4 linked regions of the Arabidopsis thaliana genome follow. The protein of the gene in region 3 purifies or fractionates together with the protein of the main gene of each other region. This does not show direct contact. Each region holds a gene or a part of one and is shown on either strand. Other genes may lie near its edges. The genes, in order: Fes1A, AT2G19940, AT4G18440 and AT3G19480.

What was found.
Region 1: the proteins of AT4G18440 (region 3) and Fes1A fractionate together in Arabidopsis thaliana (co-fractionation; one large-scale study listed by BioGRID). This does not show direct contact.
Region 2: the proteins of AT4G18440 (region 3) and AT2G19940 fractionate together in Arabidopsis thaliana (co-fractionation; one large-scale study listed by BioGRID). This does not show direct contact.
Region 4: the proteins of AT4G18440 (region 3) and AT3G19480 fractionate together in Arabidopsis thaliana (co-fractionation; one large-scale study listed by BioGRID). This does not show direct contact.

The regions. Positions count from the first base shown.
Region 1 is NC_003074.8:2,869,231-2,873,867, forward strand, and holds Fes1A (Fes1A), read left to right. Parts: upstream 1-1,739; 5' UTR 1,740-1,985; coding exon 1,986-2,071; intron 2,072-2,157; exon of another isoform or gene 2,158-2,457; coding exon 2,458-2,600; intron 2,601-2,689; coding exon 2,690-2,740; intron 2,741-2,855; coding exon 2,856-3,077; intron 3,078-3,198; coding exon 3,199-3,301; intron 3,302-3,392; coding exon 3,393-3,879; 3' UTR 3,880-4,102; downstream 4,103-4,637. Other genes in the region: AT3G09340 (Transmembrane amino acid transporter family protein), read right to left, coding at 1-45, 131-335, 423-637, 779-1,053, 1,145-1,296; AT3G09360 (Cyclin/Brf1-like TBP-binding protein), read left to right, coding at 4,566-4,627.
Region 2 is NC_003071.7:8,610,982-8,616,655, reverse strand, and holds AT2G19940 (Putative N-acetyl-gamma-glutamyl-phosphate reductase), read right to left. Parts: upstream 3,731-5,674; 5' UTR 3,626-3,730; intron 3,623-3,625; exon of another isoform or gene 3,503-3,622; 5' UTR 3,489-3,502; coding exon of another isoform or gene 3,454-3,488; coding exon 3,441-3,453; intron 3,310-3,440; coding exon 3,140-3,309; intron 2,814-3,139; coding exon 2,706-2,813; intron 2,601-2,705; coding exon 2,514-2,600; intron 2,434-2,513; coding exon 2,383-2,433; intron 2,309-2,382; coding exon 2,237-2,308; intron 2,152-2,236; coding exon 2,032-2,151; intron 1,944-2,031; coding exon 1,883-1,943; intron 1,807-1,882; coding exon 1,726-1,806; intron 1,650-1,725; coding exon 1,570-1,649; intron 1,495-1,569; coding exon 1,405-1,494; intron 1,333-1,404; coding exon 1,204-1,332; intron 1,115-1,203; coding exon 1,007-1,114; 3' UTR 539-1,006; downstream 1-538. Other genes in the region: GC1 (golgin Putative 1), read left to right, coding at 1-50, 135-179, 259-315; AT2G19930 (RNA-dependent RNA polymerase family protein), read left to right, coding at 4,197-4,521, 4,614-4,758, 4,897-5,026, 5,156-5,227, 5,429-5,612.
Region 3 is NC_003075.7:10,185,548-10,190,930, reverse strand, and holds AT4G18440 (L-Aspartase-like family protein), read left to right. Parts: upstream 1-1,949; 5' UTR 1,950-2,098; coding exon 2,099-2,284; intron 2,285-2,371; coding exon 2,372-2,524; intron 2,525-2,671; coding exon 2,672-2,887; intron 2,888-2,980; coding exon 2,981-3,163; intron 3,164-3,262; coding exon 3,263-3,484; intron 3,485-3,572; coding exon 3,573-3,689; intron 3,690-3,778; coding exon 3,779-3,922; intron 3,923-4,003; coding exon 4,004-4,105; intron 4,106-4,170; coding exon 4,171-4,239; intron 4,240-4,327; coding exon 4,328-4,546; 3' UTR 4,547-4,858; downstream 4,859-5,383. Other genes in the region: AT4G18450 (Integrase-type DNA-binding superfamily protein), read left to right, coding at 1-681.
Region 4 is NC_003074.8:6,750,895-6,755,323, reverse strand, and holds AT3G19480 (D-3-phosphoglycerate dehydrogenase), read right to left. Parts: upstream 2,903-4,429; 5' UTR 2,735-2,902; coding exon 2,224-2,734; intron 2,142-2,223; coding exon 1,654-2,141; intron 1,578-1,653; coding exon 1,482-1,577; intron 1,346-1,481; coding exon 674-1,345; 3' UTR 539-673; downstream 1-538. Other genes in the region: NHD1 (sodium:hydrogen antiporter 1), read left to right, coding at 1-205, 330-449; AT3G19470 (F-box and associated interaction domains-containing protein), read right to left, coding at 4,410-4,429. UniProt on the Arabidopsis thaliana protein: Involved in the plastidial phosphorylated pathway of serine biosynthesis (PPSB).

The sequences.
Region 1 (4,637 bases), on a different chromosome or scaffold from region 3:
AGAAGAGACAAAGAGCAAGCAAGATCGAAACAAAGACTCCTCCGGCTAAAAGAATGGAACACACATATTAAAGAATATATGAACGAATCTCGAAGCTATATTGGAAGGATCTTATGATAGAAAATGGAACCTGAGAGATAGGAGAGTAAGCTAAGGTCTTTGAGCCAAACTGTAGGAAGAACAATAAGAGTAGCTGATATAGCAAAGATCTGAGGAGAATCTAGAGATACTCCAACGATGTTTAATGTAATGTTGGGGAAAACTCTCGATAAATTATCGCTCATCATGATTATATACTCCACACAACATACGTATAACTCCATGTACAGAAGTATCTGCAACTCTCAAAAGAGATCAAGAACCCTATATATTAGTTTGGAGATATGTGAAGTATATATGTAAATCATTTCCATATAACTCACGGAGATGATGAGGCGGCCTGTAAATCCAAAGGCAGCTTGACCAATGTCCGGGTAGGTACGGAGATCAGAAGAGCTCTCAAGACATCGTTTGAGGAGGATACCGGTGTAGCAAGTGATGATAGCAAAGGATAAGAGTATACAAAGCCCGAGCCATCCTCCTTCTTTCACCGCGTAAGGCATTGTGAGTAGACTTATTCCACAAAGGACATTGATTCCTTCACCAAAAATAGGTTCAACTTAAAGAGAGATTGAAACTTTTCTTTTTGTTATGACGATAAAATCTATTCAACCGAACCGAATGCCTAAACCCTAAAGACTTTTGAGACAGAATCAATATCGATACTACTACGTCTTACCATTTAGAACAGATTGGGGAAACGAGCAGAAATTTGGTTCTCCATACGAGAGATCGGTGTTGGATAACCCGACCTGAGATGAAAGGAATGATACATCGTCTTTCTCAGAGAGCAGCGGTTGTTTGCTTGTGGAAGACACAAACGAATTTGCAATAGAGGTTGGACGTCTCTTGTATAAGGAAGCGATGGAGCTACTGAATGATGTCTCAGTACTTCTCCCTTGTATGAAACTGACCATAGGAGGTGTAACTCCGGTCAAGAGATCCACAGAGTGTCTGAATTTTACATGAAAAAAAGAAGGAAGAATCTTCACAAACACTTCAAATAATTTCGTTAGATATCGAAAAACAAAGTATTTTATTTTACCTATAACTCTGAGGCCAGAAAGCGGAATCATTCTGGGATAATGAAAAAGATGCATTGGAATCATCGTCGTCATTAACATATGAGACATCGACATGGCAGTCATCGTCATCTGTCTGAATCAATATGTCCCTTTCTTGCTCCTCAAGATCCATCTTCGTCGTCTCTGCTTCAAAACAGAGTTAAATCAGAGCAAGTAACAGATTCCAGGACAGAACAAACGAAACAGGAAAAAAAGGAGGGAACAGAGAAGTGAAATGAATATTGGAAGAAATATAAAGAGACGACGAAGAGACTCGGTATTGAGTTCGATGTGTTGTCACGTCTGACGTCTGTCAACTTTGTATTAGTCTTAGGAAAAAAACACTTTGTATTAGTCCATTGATACTACTTGATCATATGTAACGAATTAAATTCTGGTCGACTGGTCGTTAAATTTAGAGTGGAAGGTAACGTTCACATGTTTAAAAGGTCCAAAGTCAAAAGGTACATGCGTGGCATAGATTTGCCAATAAATTAAAGAAAAAAAGGTAAATTCAAGAAAGGCTTATCGAGCTAATTTAAGCCCAATAATACTGAACTATTTGGGCTTGAGTCTTAAAGGCCCAATTTGTGGAGGAGGCGTCATCGTCTTCGCTTTTCCTTTTCCCTTGAGAGGTCGTCGACGAGGTTTAAGATTTTTAAGAATGTTGTAGTAGCTTCGCGAATAATCTCAGGTCTTCTATAAAACCAAACTAGCGATTAGCCGACTCTTCCTCTTTATTATTACAAAGACGAAAAGGCTTCGAGTTTTGTAATTTCTTCTTCTGTTACAAGTTCTTTTCACTGTGAAAGTAATTCTTCAATGGCGAAAGACGGACCTAATTGGGATGGTTTGCTTAAGTGGAGTCTCTCTCACGCCGACGGTACTCGACCCACTCGCCAGTTGAGGTACGGACATTCATCTTGTAGTTGGTTTTTTAGGTTCTGTCTTTTGATTTGTCTGAAACTGATGGGATGCTTGGTGGGTAGTTTAGGTATCTGTGTGGCTATGATTGAGCTTTCACTTGAGGAGATGAATCTTATGAGTGAATTCGAATCTGGGTTTGTTTAAAGTAGTTTTCTTTTTTGAAGATATCTGTTCAGTTCATCGGTTTGGTTAAGATTCAATTATCGAATTCTGCTGTTATGTAGGTGAAAGGTTATCTATTTTCTCGTTTTTACATGAAACTCTGTTAATTTTTTTTAAGGGAATTCACGATTTGTTCATGTCAAATCATTCTGTATGTGTTTTATTGTGGATTGTTTTGTTGATTTGAGTTGTTTTAATGAGACAGTGAGGAGGATCGAAAATGGTTTATGGAGGCTATGCAATCGCAGACTGTAGATGTAGTCAAACGCATGAAGGAGATTACACTAGTTATGCAAACACCTGAACAAGTTTTGGTGGAACATGGAGTAACACCTGAAGATATCCAAGGTGCGTAATTTGTGGCTATAATACATAGCTTAGATCTTTATCTTTTGCCATTGTGTGTAGGGTACTAATTGAGTTTATTATTCTGGTAGATTTGCTGGATGAGCTGCAAGAGCACGTTGAATCGATCGATATGGCTAACGGTACATTATCTCTAACTTGGACTTTGCTTTTTTTTTTTTTTTTTTTTTCTTTCCTGTTCTGGTTAGCTCAATTTGAACATTGCTTGTAACAACTTGTTTACTTACTATTGTGTAGATCTTCATTCAATTGGAGGCTTGGTTCCTCTTCTTAGTTTCCTTAAAAACTCTCATGCTAATATTCGGGCAAAAGCTGCGGATGTCGTTAGCACAATAGTTCAGAACAATCCTAGAAGTCAGGAACTTGTTATGGAAACCAATGCTCTGGAGTCATTGCTCTCGAATTTCACTTCAGACACTGATATTCACGCTCGAACCCAGGCTCTTGGCGCAATATCATGTAAGCCTGCTTCTGATAGTTCATTTTTAGTAAAGATTGAGATGATCAAAAGCTTTTGTGATTTCTATTTTACTTGGTTTGTGATACTAAAAGAGACTTATCTTTTCAATATGGGATGTAGCTTTGATTCGCCATAACAAACCAGGAGTAACGGCTTTCAAGCTTGCCAATGGTTATGCTGGCCTAAGAGACGCCTTGGCATCTGATAGTGTGAGATTTCAAAGGTAACCCACACAAATATTCTTATCATCTGCGGATATAAAATCGTGGAAGATTCTTGAATTGTTGCTCATTTTCTTTATTCAAATTCTCCAGGAAAGCCTTAAACTTGTTGCAATATCTACTGCAAGAGGATGATTCAGACCGCAGTATTGCCACTGGACTTGGATTCCCCCGAGTGATGATGCATCTTGCCTCTAGTGACGATGCTGAGATCAGAGAAGCCGCTCTTCGTGGATTACTTGAGCTTTCAAGAGAGAAAAACGATGGAAGTAGCAGCATAGATAAAAGCGATGAGAAACTGAGGCAGCTACTAGAAGAACGGATCAAAGGAATCACCTTGATGTCACAAGAGGATCTTGAAACGGTTAAAGAAGAGAGACAGCTCGTGGATTTACTGTGGAGCATTTGCTACAATGAACCTTCTTCTCTGAGAGAAAAAGGACTTGTCGTTCTTCCCGGTGAAGACGCATTGCCTCCTGATGTCGCTAGCAAGCTCTTTGAGCCTCCTCTTAGAGCTTCTGCAGCAAACCGTAATGCTACTGAGAAGAAAGATGAACCTATGAAACTACTTGGACCATAGACGAGAAATCAAAGCTAAAACTTTTTATTACTTTTCCTTGTTTTTTATGTTTTGTAACTTTTCAAATTGTCAGAAAAGTTTCATAGATATATGTATTATGTCAATGATCAAGGGCTATGTTATGTTAATTTTTGTTTTCATCATTCGAGATCTTTAGTCTTGTTATTGTTGAGATTAAGAATATTCAGCTTCAATGCTTTTTCAATTCAACAAGTGTTCTATACGATTTCGGTTTAGCAACAGCTAATACGGACCCGATCTAATTGATCGGTTAAAATTGGTAACTTTGAATTGCGGTGAACCGAAGAACAAAACCAAAGCGAACGTCACAATTACTTTGCAATCCCTAAAGGGACAGAGTTCGAATCAAGGCAGTCTCACATATCGGAGAAATCTCTCGTCACGTCTCTCAGCTTCGCCTTCAACACCGTCGTCGCCGTCACGGCCAACTCCGGTATTGTTATATAGATACAATTACAGTGAACTAGATAATCTCATCAAACCCTGATTCTTTCCACTTCCTCGCACGATTGTGTGAAAACAGTTACTTTCGCTATAAATAGTCTGATCTTCTTTCTATTGAGCAGTAAGATTGGAAGCTGTTGTTTCGAATCGATTCAAGCCTCGAATCTGAGTTTCGGATCGATATTAGAAGCTAAGGTAGGAGCTTTTTGAGTGAAGGAGTTATGGTATGGTGTAACCATTGCGTGAAGAATGTTCCCGGAATACGCCCTTATGATGGTGCATTGTAAGTGTTT
Region 2 (5,674 bases), on a different chromosome or scaffold from region 3:
GGTTCCTTTGGCGGTACCCAATAGCACGGATGTTCCTACTTTTTTACCTTGTAAGGCGCTCGCTTATTTCAATCTCATTCGCCTTACTTGTGAATTTATGGAACATTAAGCTGACATCATTTATGAATTTGCAGGTCTTTGTTCATCTCTTCTTGATGTATCTAATACACCGACTCCAGGTATGCTTGGTCATTTTACATTGAAAATCACATCACAGTCATGGAACTCAACTTGTTGTCGTTCCTAAATCTCGTGTAGGAGCAAGCCGAGGCCCAGGAAGTTGCGGCAATGACCAACAACGTTTTCAGACTATAACAGATTCCATAAGAAAGCAACACATGGTGGTTTTAAGAGATTGCTGAGTAATGTGGAAGAAAGAAGCATAACTATGGATTATAGAGAAGACTTTTAAAACTTTATATATATAGAGGCTGCTTCTTACGATATTCCAATCTAACCTGTTGGTATGTGAAGAACATAATGTTGGTAAATGGGGTTTATACACACTTGATTGATAGGCATGGTTGGTTTTAAAAGCATTTGAATATATATCTGTTGAGCCTATTAAAGTTCGGTTTACTTATTTTCTCTGACGCCCGAACTCGGTTTAGTTTTGGTCACCCTAAGCTGAATATGTATTTTGGCCACCGCCACATCCAACAATCTGTAATAGAATAAGTTCAACTTTCTTTTGTGACTCAAACGAAAATTGCAATTCAGAAAATAGAGATAACAAGAATAAAGGTTCATCAAAACCTTAATAAACAAACAACAAAACCATTTATTTGTAATGGTAAAAGAAGAGGCTTTATTGTCTATAAATATGAATCATATAACCAACCATCTTTATGCTTAACATTGCCGTCTCAACAGCTTCAGATTGGTCATCTGAAGATAGGAATAAAGACAAACGCTTAAGCAGGCAAATCTAATGACAGAAATATCTTCAAGATACAGAGCCAACAAGAGAGAAGAATGCTATTTTACCGATTTAAAGGTGGGATTTTTAAGGGAAAAGCGGCTGGTGTAGGAGCCCCGTTGTTTCGGGATATCCCAACATTATGTTAAGATTCTGCAACGCTTGTCCCGAAGCTCCTTTCACAAGATTATCAATCTGCAACACCAGAGAGCTTTTTATACACAAAGCAATATTGTCGAAAGCTAAAGATGAGTTTATAACAGAGGATGGTTATGCTTAATTACCACTGAGATTATGATAGCTCTTCCAGGAATTCGATCAGGAAAGACACTCATATGACAATAGTTGGATCCTCTAACGTTGTGTGTCCGAGGAACAACTCCTTCATCCAACACTTTGACAAATTCTTCATCCTACAAAACATTTTTGAAACATAATAAGTAACAAAAGTAGTAATTGGCTTACAACATAAGAGTAATCATCACCTCATAAGACGTCTTCAATTGCTGGTGTAAATCTTCGGTTCTAACCCCGGGAGCCATTTCCACATATATAGTCGATTGCATTCCACGGATCTACCCAAACAACTGAGGATCAGTTAATGGGTTTAAGGTTAAAAATTATAGAAATCATGCTAAGATTATTTGTACCATTGGCATGAGATGTGGCGTAAAACTGACTGTTACTTTTGACTGTGCAACATCAGATAATCCCTGTTCAATTTCAGGAACTGCAAAACAAAAGAGATATTGAATTCAAATCATGGCAAAATTTTAACTCATTGTGATAATTAGTTTGTGACATACCATGGCGATGACGGGTGACACCATAAGAAGAAATGCCTTCAGCTATCTCAGAGTAAAGATTTGCCTCCTTAGCACCACGTCCTGATGAAAATTTCATATCAGTCAAGAAACTAGAAACATTGCATCATTGTTCATTGATCACGGAGTAAGCTCAAACCTGCTCCACTAACACCAGATTTTGCATCGATAATGATGTTTTCATGTTTGATGAGATTTGCCTGCACCAAAATCAACACATTGAGTAGAGAGACGGAAGACTAGGCAGTTAAGTAAAATCGCATACCAGAAAAGAATAGAAAAACAAACCTTTAGTAAAGGAACAAGAGGAAGTTGAATCGTAGTCGGGTAACAGCCTGGGTTAGCCACAAGTCGTGCCTTTTTTATGTCCTCCCTTAGTATCTCTGTTAGACCATACACAACTTCTTTCTGAACCCCGTAGGACACTTGGTAAGTATAACCATTATGAACACAACAGACCTAAAATCAAGGAATAACATTGAGAGAAATGTACCTGTAACTCTACTGCCTTGTGAGGCTGACCATACCATTCTTCATATTCTGCAATATTACGCAACCGGAAGTCCTGAAAAGCGTATTTTAGATGGGCTTATAACTGAAAGAAAAGGAACAAAAAAAAAACAGTTCTTCAAGGATTACCGCTGAAAGATCAACGATTTTCAATGCAGTAGGCAGTTCCTTGATGATTTCCTGTTGAAATACACACTCATTTCCGTTAAGCTAAGAAAAGCTTTAAGAAATTGAAATGGAAGAATGAAAGGAAAATGAACCTGAGTTGTTCCGTGAGGTAAACAGCAGAATACAGCATCCACAGTAGAAAAATCTGCATCCTTTACCGAGACCAAAGTAGGTAGTTTCTGTGGACAGTAAAGGTTCAATTATTAATCAATATACACCATCACAAAGTAACATTGAACAGATTCATTTCTTGGTATATTACTAGGGATAGAAATCACTTATACTTGAGCTCTCAGGTGTGGGAAAACGCTTTCCATTGACTGGCCAGCTTTTCTATCAGCAGTCATCAAAGTGACCTGGAAATGCGGATGATTTGCAAGAAGCCTAACGATCTGCAATTCAATAAAGAAGAGTAAACTTACCATCTCATGGGTTTGAATGAAACCTTGAATGCCTCATCCATTCTTTCCCTTGTAATTTTAAACAACTTTAAAGCAACGACTATAAGACTTTTCTCTTCCTTTTATCGAGAAAAGATTAACTTTGCATATGTTTACAGCTTAAGCTAAATTAGAAGGCCAATACCCAAAAAGTCAAAAACTTGCAACAAGATGCATACCACTTAAGCTCTGATTCATTGCAAAACCAAAGAGATCACTAAAACAAACAATTCCAAGAAAATTAAACTTGAAACAGACAGATTCAACATTGCACAAACCTCAGCACCAGTGTAGCCACTTGCACCAAGAAGACCAATCCTAATATCCTTTTCAGGTTTAACAGAACTACTAGCTGAAACTCTGAAGCTCATTGAAGATGGCGAAGCCACATGGGATCCCAAAGTAAGCCTCTTGGCTCGCTTATCCGCTACACAATTTTCCTTTCGCCCTTTTCAAAACAAAGAAAACCCACATTTACATGATTATCAGATTGCAATAACACAACACAAGCTACAATGAGCTTGAATGTGGATTCAGTGGGAAAAAAAACAGAGATTTTGAAGAGTTTTAGGAATTGACCTTGAACCAGCATCCTTGGATTGAACTAAAAGCCGACGCAGTACTCATTATTGGATTCGATTCTGCAAAAAACAAAATTCAGGAACAAAAAAAGACTAATCTTTTTGCTAAGAACAAGAAGAAATTAGCTTCTCTCAATGTGATTTGATATTGAGAGTCAATTATGGTAGTGATGAAACAAATACCCGTAAACTCTTCGTCACTCTCTCTCTCTATACGAAGTGGTCGGAGAAGTTCGACGGAGAAGAAGACAGCAGAAAACCACGACAAAGATTGTGGGACGAAAACGCAAGAACGACGACGTTTCAGCTAGCCCTACTTAAAACCTATCAAAGCGGTGCCGTTTCAGGGATCGAACCCGTTTACTGAACAGGCTACCCGTGGTTCAACCCGGTTTATCGACGAATTAATCGTTTGCAGAAAACGCGATATGTCTTGGCGTTTGCATCGGGTGACGACAAAAATCTGGCATTTTGGTAATTCCCAGACTAAGAGTAAAGGCATTCATGTCAATTACTTGAGTAAGCGCCGAAGCGGTTAGATGAATTTGTTTCAATGGAGTCAAAAGAAAATCTAGAGAAAAAGCTCCGACCTTTTTATTTCCTCTCTGTTTCTTCTTGTGTCATCGTCAAATCAAATCCAATCACTAACAGTAGAAACTGTTTCTCTACTGGGTATTTTTTTTTGGCAACCCTTAAATTCTGAAGTAAGAGAGAAGAAGAAGAAAGTGTGAGATTCCGACGAACGGGAAGAAAAATGATAAATTTTCGCAGCATGAATCAAGCTTCTTCGAGGATAAGGATCGCTCTTTCGGGTCGGATTGAAACAGCTTTAGAGAATATCTACAGAAAACACAATCTTACTCCGATTAATGATGAGACGAGACAGAGACTGTCTTCGATTCCTGAGAATTTGGGTTTTGAGTTGGTCAGGAAAGTTTTTAGTTTGCAGGCTGGTTTGATATACAACCTCGACAGCTTCATCGTTTCTAAGGTTAACCAAGCCGTTAGTTTTACTGGCTATCCACAGCCGGCGAACTCTCTTAGCCCCTCTGGAAGACACGTGTCCAGGGTTCTTCAAGGTTAGTATCAGAAACAAACTCTCTTTGCTTGTGAAAATGTGAATTTGGATAGTAAAAATCTTTACTTTTCTTATGATTGTTGGCGATTGCAGAAGAGATGTCTGTTGATTCTGATGCTCCTTCTCCTAAGTCTTTGAAAAGTGAAGACAAAGGAGGATCTCTGCACATTCCCCAGCTGGTAGCTTTGGGTGAACTTGAATTTAAGAAGGTGTTTTTGTTACTTAGCTATATTCCAGGGTAATGTTTGTTATGCAAGTTTCCCAATTTCTTACATCTCTATATTCTCTTATCCACCTATTGTAATTGTTTGGTTTTGATGGTGACAATTACCTCTTTTGGTGATGCTTAACTTTTTCTTTATTTGATGTTATACAGGCAACATGTGGGCCAGGTTATAACTGCTGATGAGATTAGACTGTGGAAAGATTTGCCAATGGTTGAATATGAAGCAGCGGTTTGGGACCGCTTGGGCCGGCATTATTGTCCCCAAAAGGACCGAAGAATGGTATTGTTCTATTCTATTGGGTTTTGTTTATATTTTCATGTTTGCGTTTCTGAAGGTAATTTTACAAGAAGTTGAGTTTGGTATCAAAGTTGTATTAACTGCATTTTCTATCATGCTTCATTTCCCCAGTTGCAATGGGATAGCGGGAAGACCCATTACTATCAGTGTAATGTTGCTCCCAATGGTAGCTACACATTCAAGGTTCTTTCAGCTCTTCAAGTACTATCTTTTCTGTTTGCTTTTTCCATTAGGCATATGTACTTTGTGTAATATTTTTGATTCAAGCTGTAGAAGAAATTCTTTGTAAGTCGCTATCATATGTCTATAAAACAATTGATATGTCTATCAAACATTGCACCTTGACATTGACTCAATATACTTATCGACACACTGTGTTCACAGGGCCCTCTTCTTGAACACACTGGAACACACTTGCACAAGGTCTTGGGTGATGATAATGTTTTAACCGTCAAATTCGCGGATGTCCAGAAAAGTTCATCAACATATAGCATTGACCATTACTTTACATACAAAGGGATTGCCAAGAACGGTATCATGATTGGTTTACGTCGTTATCAATTTTTTGGTGGGCATTGTTTTCCCTTTTTCTCTTGATTAACTACCATTTATGTCGTTACACATACAAAA
Region 3 (5,383 bases):
GCTTCTTTCCCAAACAAAACCAATCATGATCCATTAACCAACCCTACCATTGATTCATGTTCTTTGTCTTCTCGGGTTTCTTGCAAAACAAGAAAATACAGGGGAGTACGGAAGCGTCCGTGGGGGAAATTTGCAGCCGAAATCAGGGATTCGACGAGAAACGGTGTTAGGGTTTGGCTCGGAACGTTCCAAACTGCAGAGGAAGCAGCTATGGCTTACGATAAAGCCGCGGTTAGAATTAGAGGTACTCAAAAAGCTCACACAAATTTTCAGCTCGAAACAGTTATAAAAGCTATGGAAATGGATTGCAACCCAAACTACTACCGGATGAACAACTCAAATACGTCCGATCCATTAAGAAGCAGCCGCAAAATCGGATTGAGAACAGGAAAAGAGGCGGTTAAGGCTTATGATGAAGTCGTTGATGGGATGGTTGAAAACCATTGTGCCCTTAGCTATTGTTCAACTAAGGAGCACTCGGAGACTCGTGGTTTGCGTGGGAGTGAAGAAACTTGGTTCGATTTAAGAAAGAGACGAAGGAGTAATGAAGATTCTATGTGTCAAGAAGTTGAAATGCAGAAGACGGTTACTGGAGAAGAGACAGTATGTGATGTGTTTGGTTTGTTTGAGTTTGAGGATTTGGGAAGTGATTATTTGGAGACGTTATTATCTTCTTTTTGACAGAAATACATTGAAAACTACCGTTGCTAATTTGATAGGTATACATATATAGACATGTATATATTGTATAATTATATGTCAAGATTATTTATTTATTTTACATTTTTCACAAAAAAAAACGTTAATCTATTTTTCTGTCACAAGTGTGTTTTTATTCATACTACATACTACAACGCCAATTTAACATGCCAAATATAAAACATACATGGGCAAAGGCCCAACAGCCAGTTTAAAGAACTTTGTCTGAAGAGAAAGTTGTTGTATATATCACAAGGGATATGTGGTAATTGGGAAACATGTTGGGTTGACACGTGGGAAATTGAAGGAGATGGAGTTTCCGTCACTGGTAGAATCTTCTAACACTAGAGAGCTTCAATTCAGGTTGAAATCGTCAGAAAACTAATGCAGACGGTAGATCTCAATCTTCGCCCAAAAAAACTATTTAGCTTGATGAGAATAATTTCACTTAATTTAAATTTGTAATTTTTTTTCATTTTCTTTTTCAATAGACAACTTTTCAATTTTCAAGTTGCAGTTCATCAAACCGGAACAAAAGTTAGCCTATAATCGCCAAAGAGATAAACGGCGATACAATTAGAAATAAAGCCAGCCATCGACGCTATAGAGTTTTGGGATCAAGGTTAAGCTACTTTATCCACCTTGATCTCATTCAATCTCTAAAAGCTAAATGAGTTTCGATTTAGGAATTTTGTCTATTTTCAATCGATAAAACGACATCGTAGTGTACAGTAAACTAATATCGTTTAGACATAACAGAGAAAACTAACAAAAAATTAACACCGTAATTTTTTTTTGTGAATCTACTTATCATCATATCTAAATAGTAAAATGTTTACATTTAGTCATTTAACGCCACCATTGAGACCGCCGCTTGTTAACCCATTTCTAATCTTATACATGACATATAATTGTACTAACTAACCTCAAATGGTATTAATAAACAGTTTTTGGTTCATTTCAGTTATATCAGTATATGACAAACTCTTAGTGAGATATAAATCTACACATAAAACACATGAGTATTGTTTTGTCATTGTCCAAACATTTTTGATTCACAATACGACGATTTATAAATTATTAAAGTTTCCCTCCAAATTATTTTGAAGGCATTTTTAATCCATATATTTGAAACTATTAATAAACGTGTTCAAAATAAAGGATAAGGTGATAAGTAACAAATAATCCTCCTCCAATAAGCGTAATAAGTAGGGACATCAAGGGTAAATATGGAAGAAAGAAAAAAAATGCACATGTGTTTTTTTTTAATCGGAATCTCCTAAAACCCTATATATCGGCGGTACAGTTACGCAAAGCTTCCAGTGACTCACTCACATCGTGCTTTGATTCTGGAATCTAGGTTTAAAGTTTAGACCTTTGAGATCACACTATATCAAAAATGGAGCTCAATTTCTCTTCAATGGCTATAACACACCCCAAAATCCCTTCTTTCGGTTTTACACCCACCGGAATATTCCTAAACCCATCAAAATCAGTGTGTTTGGCTTCACATCATCGGCTTCCGAGAGTTTCATGCTCTGTTTCTACTACTACTGATTCTCCCAAGCTAGTGACTTCAACAAAGGTAAGTTTTTTATTTGTGGGTTTTGCTGAAATGATGTGTTGTTTGGATGTTTTCGATAAGAATTGGCGATAAATTGATATGCTTTAGGTGACGGCAATGGATGGAGTGAGCTCTAGAGACTTGGAGATGTCGAATTTAACGGCGTTATCGCCTTTGGATGGACGTTATTGGAGTAAAGTTAAGGACTTGGCTTCTTCTTTGAGCGAGTTTGGATTGATCTATTTCCGAGTTTTTGTCGAGGTAAGTGAAGGGTTATGATCTGATTGGTTGATTGATTGAGAAGATTGTACTAGTTATGTCATGCTATATCTCTTTGTACGAGTAGTTTAGTTGTCTGGTCTAGTGTACTCATTTGCCTAAACTTTGATATTTTTATATATTTGTTAGATCAAATGGCTTCTTAAGCTTTCGAATATTCCTGAAGTCACTGAAGTTCCAAGCTTTAGCAAAGAAGCTCAGAGTTTCTTGCAAGGCATAATCGATGGATTTAGCATAGACGATGCATTGGAAATTAAGAAGATTGAGAGAGTAACAAATCATGATGTGAAAGCAGTGGAGTATTTCTTGAAACAAAAGTGTGAATCACAACCAGAGATTGCTAAGGTTTAGGTTCTTTTCTCTCACTTATAAGTTCTTAGGGTTTGGATGCTTTGATGCCCTGTAACTAAAATTTTGGATGTCTTTTTACTGAGTTAGGTTCTTGAGTTTTTCCATTTCGCTTGCACGTCTGAGGACATCAACAATCTTTCCCATGCTTTGATGCTTCAAGAAGCACTTAGTTCGGTTATACTTCCTACCATGGATGAGCTGATCAAGTCAATCTCTCTGATAGCTAAGAACTTTGCTTATGTCCCCATGCTTTCACGAACTCATGGGCAGGTAATGTCCAAAGAGAAGACCTTCACCATTTTACCTTTCCCTATTTATCTGTATCTATCTCTTTACTAATGATTTTGTTTACTATGAATTGTAATGCAGCCAGCTACGCCAACAACTTTGGGGAAAGAAATGGCGAATTTTGCTGTGAGGTTAAGCGAAGAAAGGAGATATCTTTCAGAAACTAAGATTAAGGGGAAATTTGCAGGTGCTGTTGGGAACTACAACGCCCATATTTCCGCATATTCGAATATTGACTGGCCTCATGTTTCCGAGGAGTTTGTTACTTCTCTTGGATTAACATTCAACCCATACGTGACTCAGGTAATATAGTTTATATTGATCAAACAATCCTATTCAAATTCATAAAGATCATCGCTGATTGATTGTTCTGTGTGTATTTTTTTTGCAGATTGAACCTCATGACTATATGGCTAGACTTTTTAATAATATCAGCCAGTTCAACACTATTTTAATTGATTTTGACAGAGATATATGGAGCTACATATCTCTAGGGTACTTTAAGCAGGCAAGTGTTAATATAAGAAAGGAAAAAAAAAGATGTCAAATCATTTGAATCTGAATGGGAAAATCGTCTCATTGTTTGAGATTTTGCAGACAACTAAAGCGGGTGAAATTGGATCGTCGACAATGCCTCACAAAGTGAATCCTATTGACTTTGAGAACAGCGAAGGGAATCTAGGGAAAGCAAACGCAGAGCTTACTTTTCTCAGCATGAAGCTTCCCATTTCACGCATGCAGGTTTTAACATTTCTCCATATTCTATGTATCTCAGCTAGAGTGATGGAAGTAAACTAAGCCTGAAAAATGTACAATCTGCAGCGTGATTTAACTGATTCAACTGTCTTGAGAAACATGGGTGGAGCTTTAGGACACTCTCTTCTCGCTTACAAGAGTGCGATACAGGGAATCGGGAAGCTTCAGGTATTATTACCGTAGCCCTAAGAAATGTTTCCACTTGTCACAAACTAAGAATGTTCTTGATATAGGTTAATGAAGCTCGGTTAAAAGAAGATTTGGATGATAATTGGGAAGTCCTTGCTGAACCAATACAAACTGTAAATTTCTCGAGTTTCTAATCTTCTATATCAATCAAGATATTTGATGTATCTCTAATCCACAGAAGTATTATGGTATCAAATAAAGGTGATGAGGAGATACGGTGTCCCTGAGCCGTATGAGAAGCTGAAGGAGCTAACAAGAGGAAAAGCTGTGAATGAAGAAACCATAAGAACGTTTATCAAAGGTTTGGAATTGCCTTCAGAAGCAAAAGACCAACTTCTGGAGCTAACTCCACACACATATGTTGGTGCTGCTGCTGCATTGGCACTGGCCGTGGATGAAGCTCTGCACTTGGGACATTGATGATGATCAAAGTGGTGATAGATTGTCCTCTTTTATTATGGTATTCTTTTCGAAATTGGTGGAAAACAGAGACAATTTATAGGTCGGTGACTTGCAAGTCGTCGTTTAAAATGTTAAGAAAAATCTTGTACCATTGTTGTGTTATGTTTCCTCTTTGAGTGTCTGTGTTTTATCTAAGTCTTGAGCTATAAGCTGTGGTCAATGATTCTCGAACCAATACAAATTATTGTAATAAAATAGGTCATATACACATTGGTGTCAAATAATAAAGAGTTCTCAAGTTGAAATTCAATTTGAGTGGTTTTTGTTTTTCTTTATAACCAAGTGTTATGTAGGTATCAAAATCTAGCAAATATATATGCATATAGTAGTCAAATAAATTGTCCACAGAAACAAAACTGAGAAATAATAATGTTAAAATGTTGTTTGTCAATTAAGAGCTTTAAGTAATTCTTCTATTTATTGCTAACATTTACATGAACACAAATGTTTTAGCCTTTTAGGTCTAAAATAAATAATATAAGATCTATCTCAAAAACAAACTTACTAGTTTCCTTTAGACTTGATCTATTACTAAAAGTCTAGTACATGTGTCCAACAATAATCTCAACTCTACACTATATTTAGTGTCATATAAAAAAAATCCTTAGAAGTTAAAAATAGAAATGGAAAATTTCATGACAATATACCATAAAAAATCTTTTACCTAGATATCTTCCTACACATTGCTATAATTTTATTTATGAACAAATTTCCCTGTGATTTTATTTGAGAAAAGCTATAAATTGAATTATTGAATTGAAGACATAATAATATTGTTTTTTCCTGCAAGTGTAT
Region 4 (4,429 bases), on a different chromosome or scaffold from region 3:
TGTATCAGCAATCATAGACAATGTTCCACTGGTTGCAGCGACTATGGGGATGTATGATCTCACATCGTTCCCTCAAGATTCTGAATTTTGGCAGCTCATTGCATTCTGTGCCGGCACTGGTGGTTCGATGCTTGTCATTGGTTCTGCTGCTGGTGTAGCCTTCATGGGGATGGAGAAAGTCGATTTCTTTTGGTATTTCCGAAAGGTAAGATACATTCTTCCGGCTTGTCTAACGATCAACAACACAACATTGCATTAACCAGACTGAAACTCAATACTCTTGTGGCTCTGCGCAAGAAACTCAGTTTTTTTTTTTTTTCTCCATGCAGGTTAGTGGTTTTGCTTTTGCTGGCTATGCTGCTGGTATCGCAGCTTATCTGGCCGTTCATAATCTTCATTTCGAGATCCCAACAACTGTGGCTCAGATCCCATTTCTCACTGGTTCATAGGCTCCATCAATCTCTGTATTTCTTCTCTCTGAGAAAACAAGAAAAAATCCCTGGCTGGCTGCAACAATAACACATCACTTCGTCGACATGCCGCTTTGGAAAAAATCAACTATGTAATTTGTTTCATGTACACTCGATTGTATCATTAGTACAGAATAAATCATCATTTAAGATTATATCGATCTCTGAGTTTTTTCTTATGTGCATCCATGTAAAGTATTAACCTATAGTTTGAGGAAAACAAACTCTTCAATGGCAGGAATGTCTCCGATTTTCTTCAAAGTTTCTTTGCTTGGTTGTTCATCTACTCCAATTGCCATCACAGCTTGCTTGCCTGGAGCGATTCGACCGACGCTCATGAAGCTCACGTTGACGTTTTCATCTCCTAAGATGCTAGCAACTTTACCGATCATCCCAGGCTGATCTACTTGCCTGCACAGAATCACACTCCCTTCTAAACTCACATCCACTCCAAATAATCCGACTTTGGTAAGACTTGGAACCCCTTGTTTCACTCTGCCTTCTACTTTGATCTCACCGGACTCTGATAAAGCGCTGGCAAATCTTGATTCCACGTTTGCTATCCGAACAGTTATGTATTCAATTGGATTCTCAGGTGAGCCGTCTAGAACCATACGTTCTTCTGAGATTTTGACTCCACGTTGTTTGGCAATATAATCGGAGTTAACCAGATTTATGAATACGCTGGAAATGGGTTCGATGATCCCCTTTATGACCATGGCTCGGAGAAGTCTAGTGTCGAGATCATCAGGAGCTCTGGAAGAAGCATAAGTCACTTTCACAGCATTCACACCGCTTCCACCAGTTACCAATTGTACAGCCAGCCTCCCAAGCTTCTCAGCAAGTACAACATACGGCTTCAGCTCCCTCAATACCTGAAAACAGATAGCAACTGAACAGTGTCAGAGAATTTGCAGGACAAATCATTATCACTACTTGCAATATCACCAAGAACTAGAAGAATGAAACTTGATCCTGAATTAAGGACTCTATAGTGAAGTCTGAAATTACCTCTAGTGGAACCATTGGTGCATTGACCGCGGTAGCAGCAAGTTCTCCTCTCAAAGCTCCAATAACAGCTTCTGCGACTTCGATAGACACTCCTTCCTAGGCGTCAAGTAAAGGTTTCAGGAGAGCAGAACAAAATGCACTAAAGGCAAAACGAATATACAGTATGTAATACCTGAGCCTCCATAGTACTAGCACCAAGATGAGGTGTGGCAGTGACACTCTCATGTAACACCAACTTATTATCTTTAACAGGTGGCTCTACTGTAAAAACATCAAGAGCTGCCTGAGCAACAATACCCGAGTCAAGCGCTCTCAAAAGAGCTTCCTCATCAATAACTCCACCACGAGCAACATTAACAATACGGACTCCTTTCTTCATCATCGCAAAGGTCACATCATTCATCATCTTCGAAGTAGCAGCAGTAAGAGGCAGATGCAAAGAGATGAAGTCAGCAGTTGAAATAGCTACTTCAAAACTAACAAGCTCCACACCAATAGCTCGTGCACGATCCGCTGGTGCATAAGGATCATGTGTAATGACATGCATACCAAGTCCCCTGGCTCGTCTAGCAACCTCTGATCCAACTTTACCAAAACCAAGAACAGCAAGAGTCTTCCCCACAAGTGAAACACCTACATACTTGTTTCTCGTCCATTTGCCTACAAACAACCACATTTCTACATTTCACATCGCAATTTCTCAAATCGCTATTCAAATTCAACAACCGTTTAAAACACTCACCAGCTTTGATAGAAGCATCAGCTTGAGCAATGTTTCTAGCCATGGCGGTCAAAAGCGCAATTCCGTGTTCAGCAGCAGCCACAGTGTTCGCAGTCGGAGCATTAACAACCAAACACCCATACTCAGTCGCCGCCGCCAAATCGACGTTATCAATCCCAACACCAGCGCGTCCAACAACCTTAAGCCTCCCACGCGACGATTCAAACACATCTCTCCCAACCTTGGTACCACTCCTGACGATGAGCGCATCACAAAGAGAGATCTTCGTACAAAGCTCCTCGAGACTCAGATCATAAGAGCAATCCACATTAGCGTACTTCTTAAGCAGATCGATCCCCGCTTGGCCTAGCTTCTCCGTTACGAGAATCGTCGGTTTTCCTCCACCTCCGGAAGAAGAAGACGTAACGAGGATGATCCGTCGCCTCTGACGGATGGGAAAAACAGAGGAGGGAGTGGTGACGAGCCTTGAGGAGGAGGAGAAGATCGATGATAGATTCAGAGACGTCGCCATCGCGATGGCGGGAATATAATGTAAGTAAAGGTGTATGTATCGTCAGCAACAGAGTAGAGAGATATGGGTTCATCTTTCGGGTGGGTTTTGTGAGGTTTAAATATGTTGTGCTAGATTACGCTACATCCTTTGTTCACTTATATCTTCACTTCTTAAGTGGATTTTGAAACTTTATATAGAAGAAAAAAAAGTTACAATTTAATAATGGTTTTGCTAATAAAATACAAATATACTACATTCTTAAAACAAAATAATAATATATCAAATATTATACTATTAGGTTATGTGGTTTAAAAATTGAAAAAACACATTTTTTTATATTGATTTTAAATTAAATTATAATATAAATAGAGATACATTTATATATCTATTAGATAAGGCGCGTTTAAGTAAGGCGGATTGTAAAAAATAATGTAAAAGTTATCGATGACATATGAATTCTATATAGTAATATGTATTTTTTTTTAATATTTTTATTTTTTCATGCCTGTTCTTGATAGTTAGCAAGTATATAATATTGAAAGAATTGTATCTCTGTTTCTTTAGATTTAGACATCTTTCATATCGTCAAATGCTGAAAATTTGTCTAACGTTCCAAAACTCTTCTTCCAGTCAAACTTTAGTTTTATTTATTGTTTGATGTAGTAAGAATCTTCTGGTGAAGGGTTTATTAATTGATTTGGCAACTGGCAAGGTCAAAATACTAGGCAGATGTCGTTGGAGGATATCACCAAGTATTGGAAACGCCTTGTGGAACACAAGAGAAATAGTAGTAGCGTAAAGCCTCATGATTCATCAGTCAGTAGCCGCTAAATTTAAGGTAATCATATGAGACATACTAACCACTATTATTTTGTGATATTCGTTGAAAGATAGCAGAATGAGTGGACAGACCACAAGGACAAGCGCTGGTCACCACATTAAGGAAGGGAGTAAACCTGTGGCACACGAAAAATCGTTCTACAAGTCCCTGCTTCAAAATCATTCTACTCCATGCTAGACAATTAGGATAGAACAATAACTAACATGATAAAAGGATTATGCTATAACTTAAATTGGTAAGAAAAACTAAATATATCAAGAGGTATTTTAGCAGCATGTCAAGATCTATATCACTTTTGCAGAAGACGCTGAACAAAGAGGAAGAAGATATGAGCACATTTTATCTGAAATATGAAACACCTAAAATATGAAGTTGATATAGTACAGGGCCATAGTGAAAGCTTTTGTGAGATATCTCAGATAGCTAGCTATCTATTAACCTTAGCCTTGTTCCTTACTAGAAGAAAGAGAAGAGAAACCTCTCTAGTTTTGTCTAATGAACAAAAAGATCACCCGTTCGACTTATCTTTAACTGCTACTGTGTTACAATAGAAAAAGAAAACGATGAACTATCAATACCTAAAGACTCTTGGAAGAAACGATGCATGCTTTCGCGGAGAATGCCAACCAAGAAGCATACAGTTTGCTCCAACTTAAGGGGACTGAAAGTAACAAACGATTAGCTGCAGGGGAAGGAGCGTGTGCACCATTTGGAAACGAATTCAAATATATATGGCAAACAAAAACAAGTATGAGAAACAAGTTAATATGTTATTGACTAACAAATAATGATCTTGTTCAAAGAAGATGACAAAAGAGGAAGAAAAAAAGTAAGCAAGGAATAGATGGTCGACTAATTAAGTTGCACTAGAC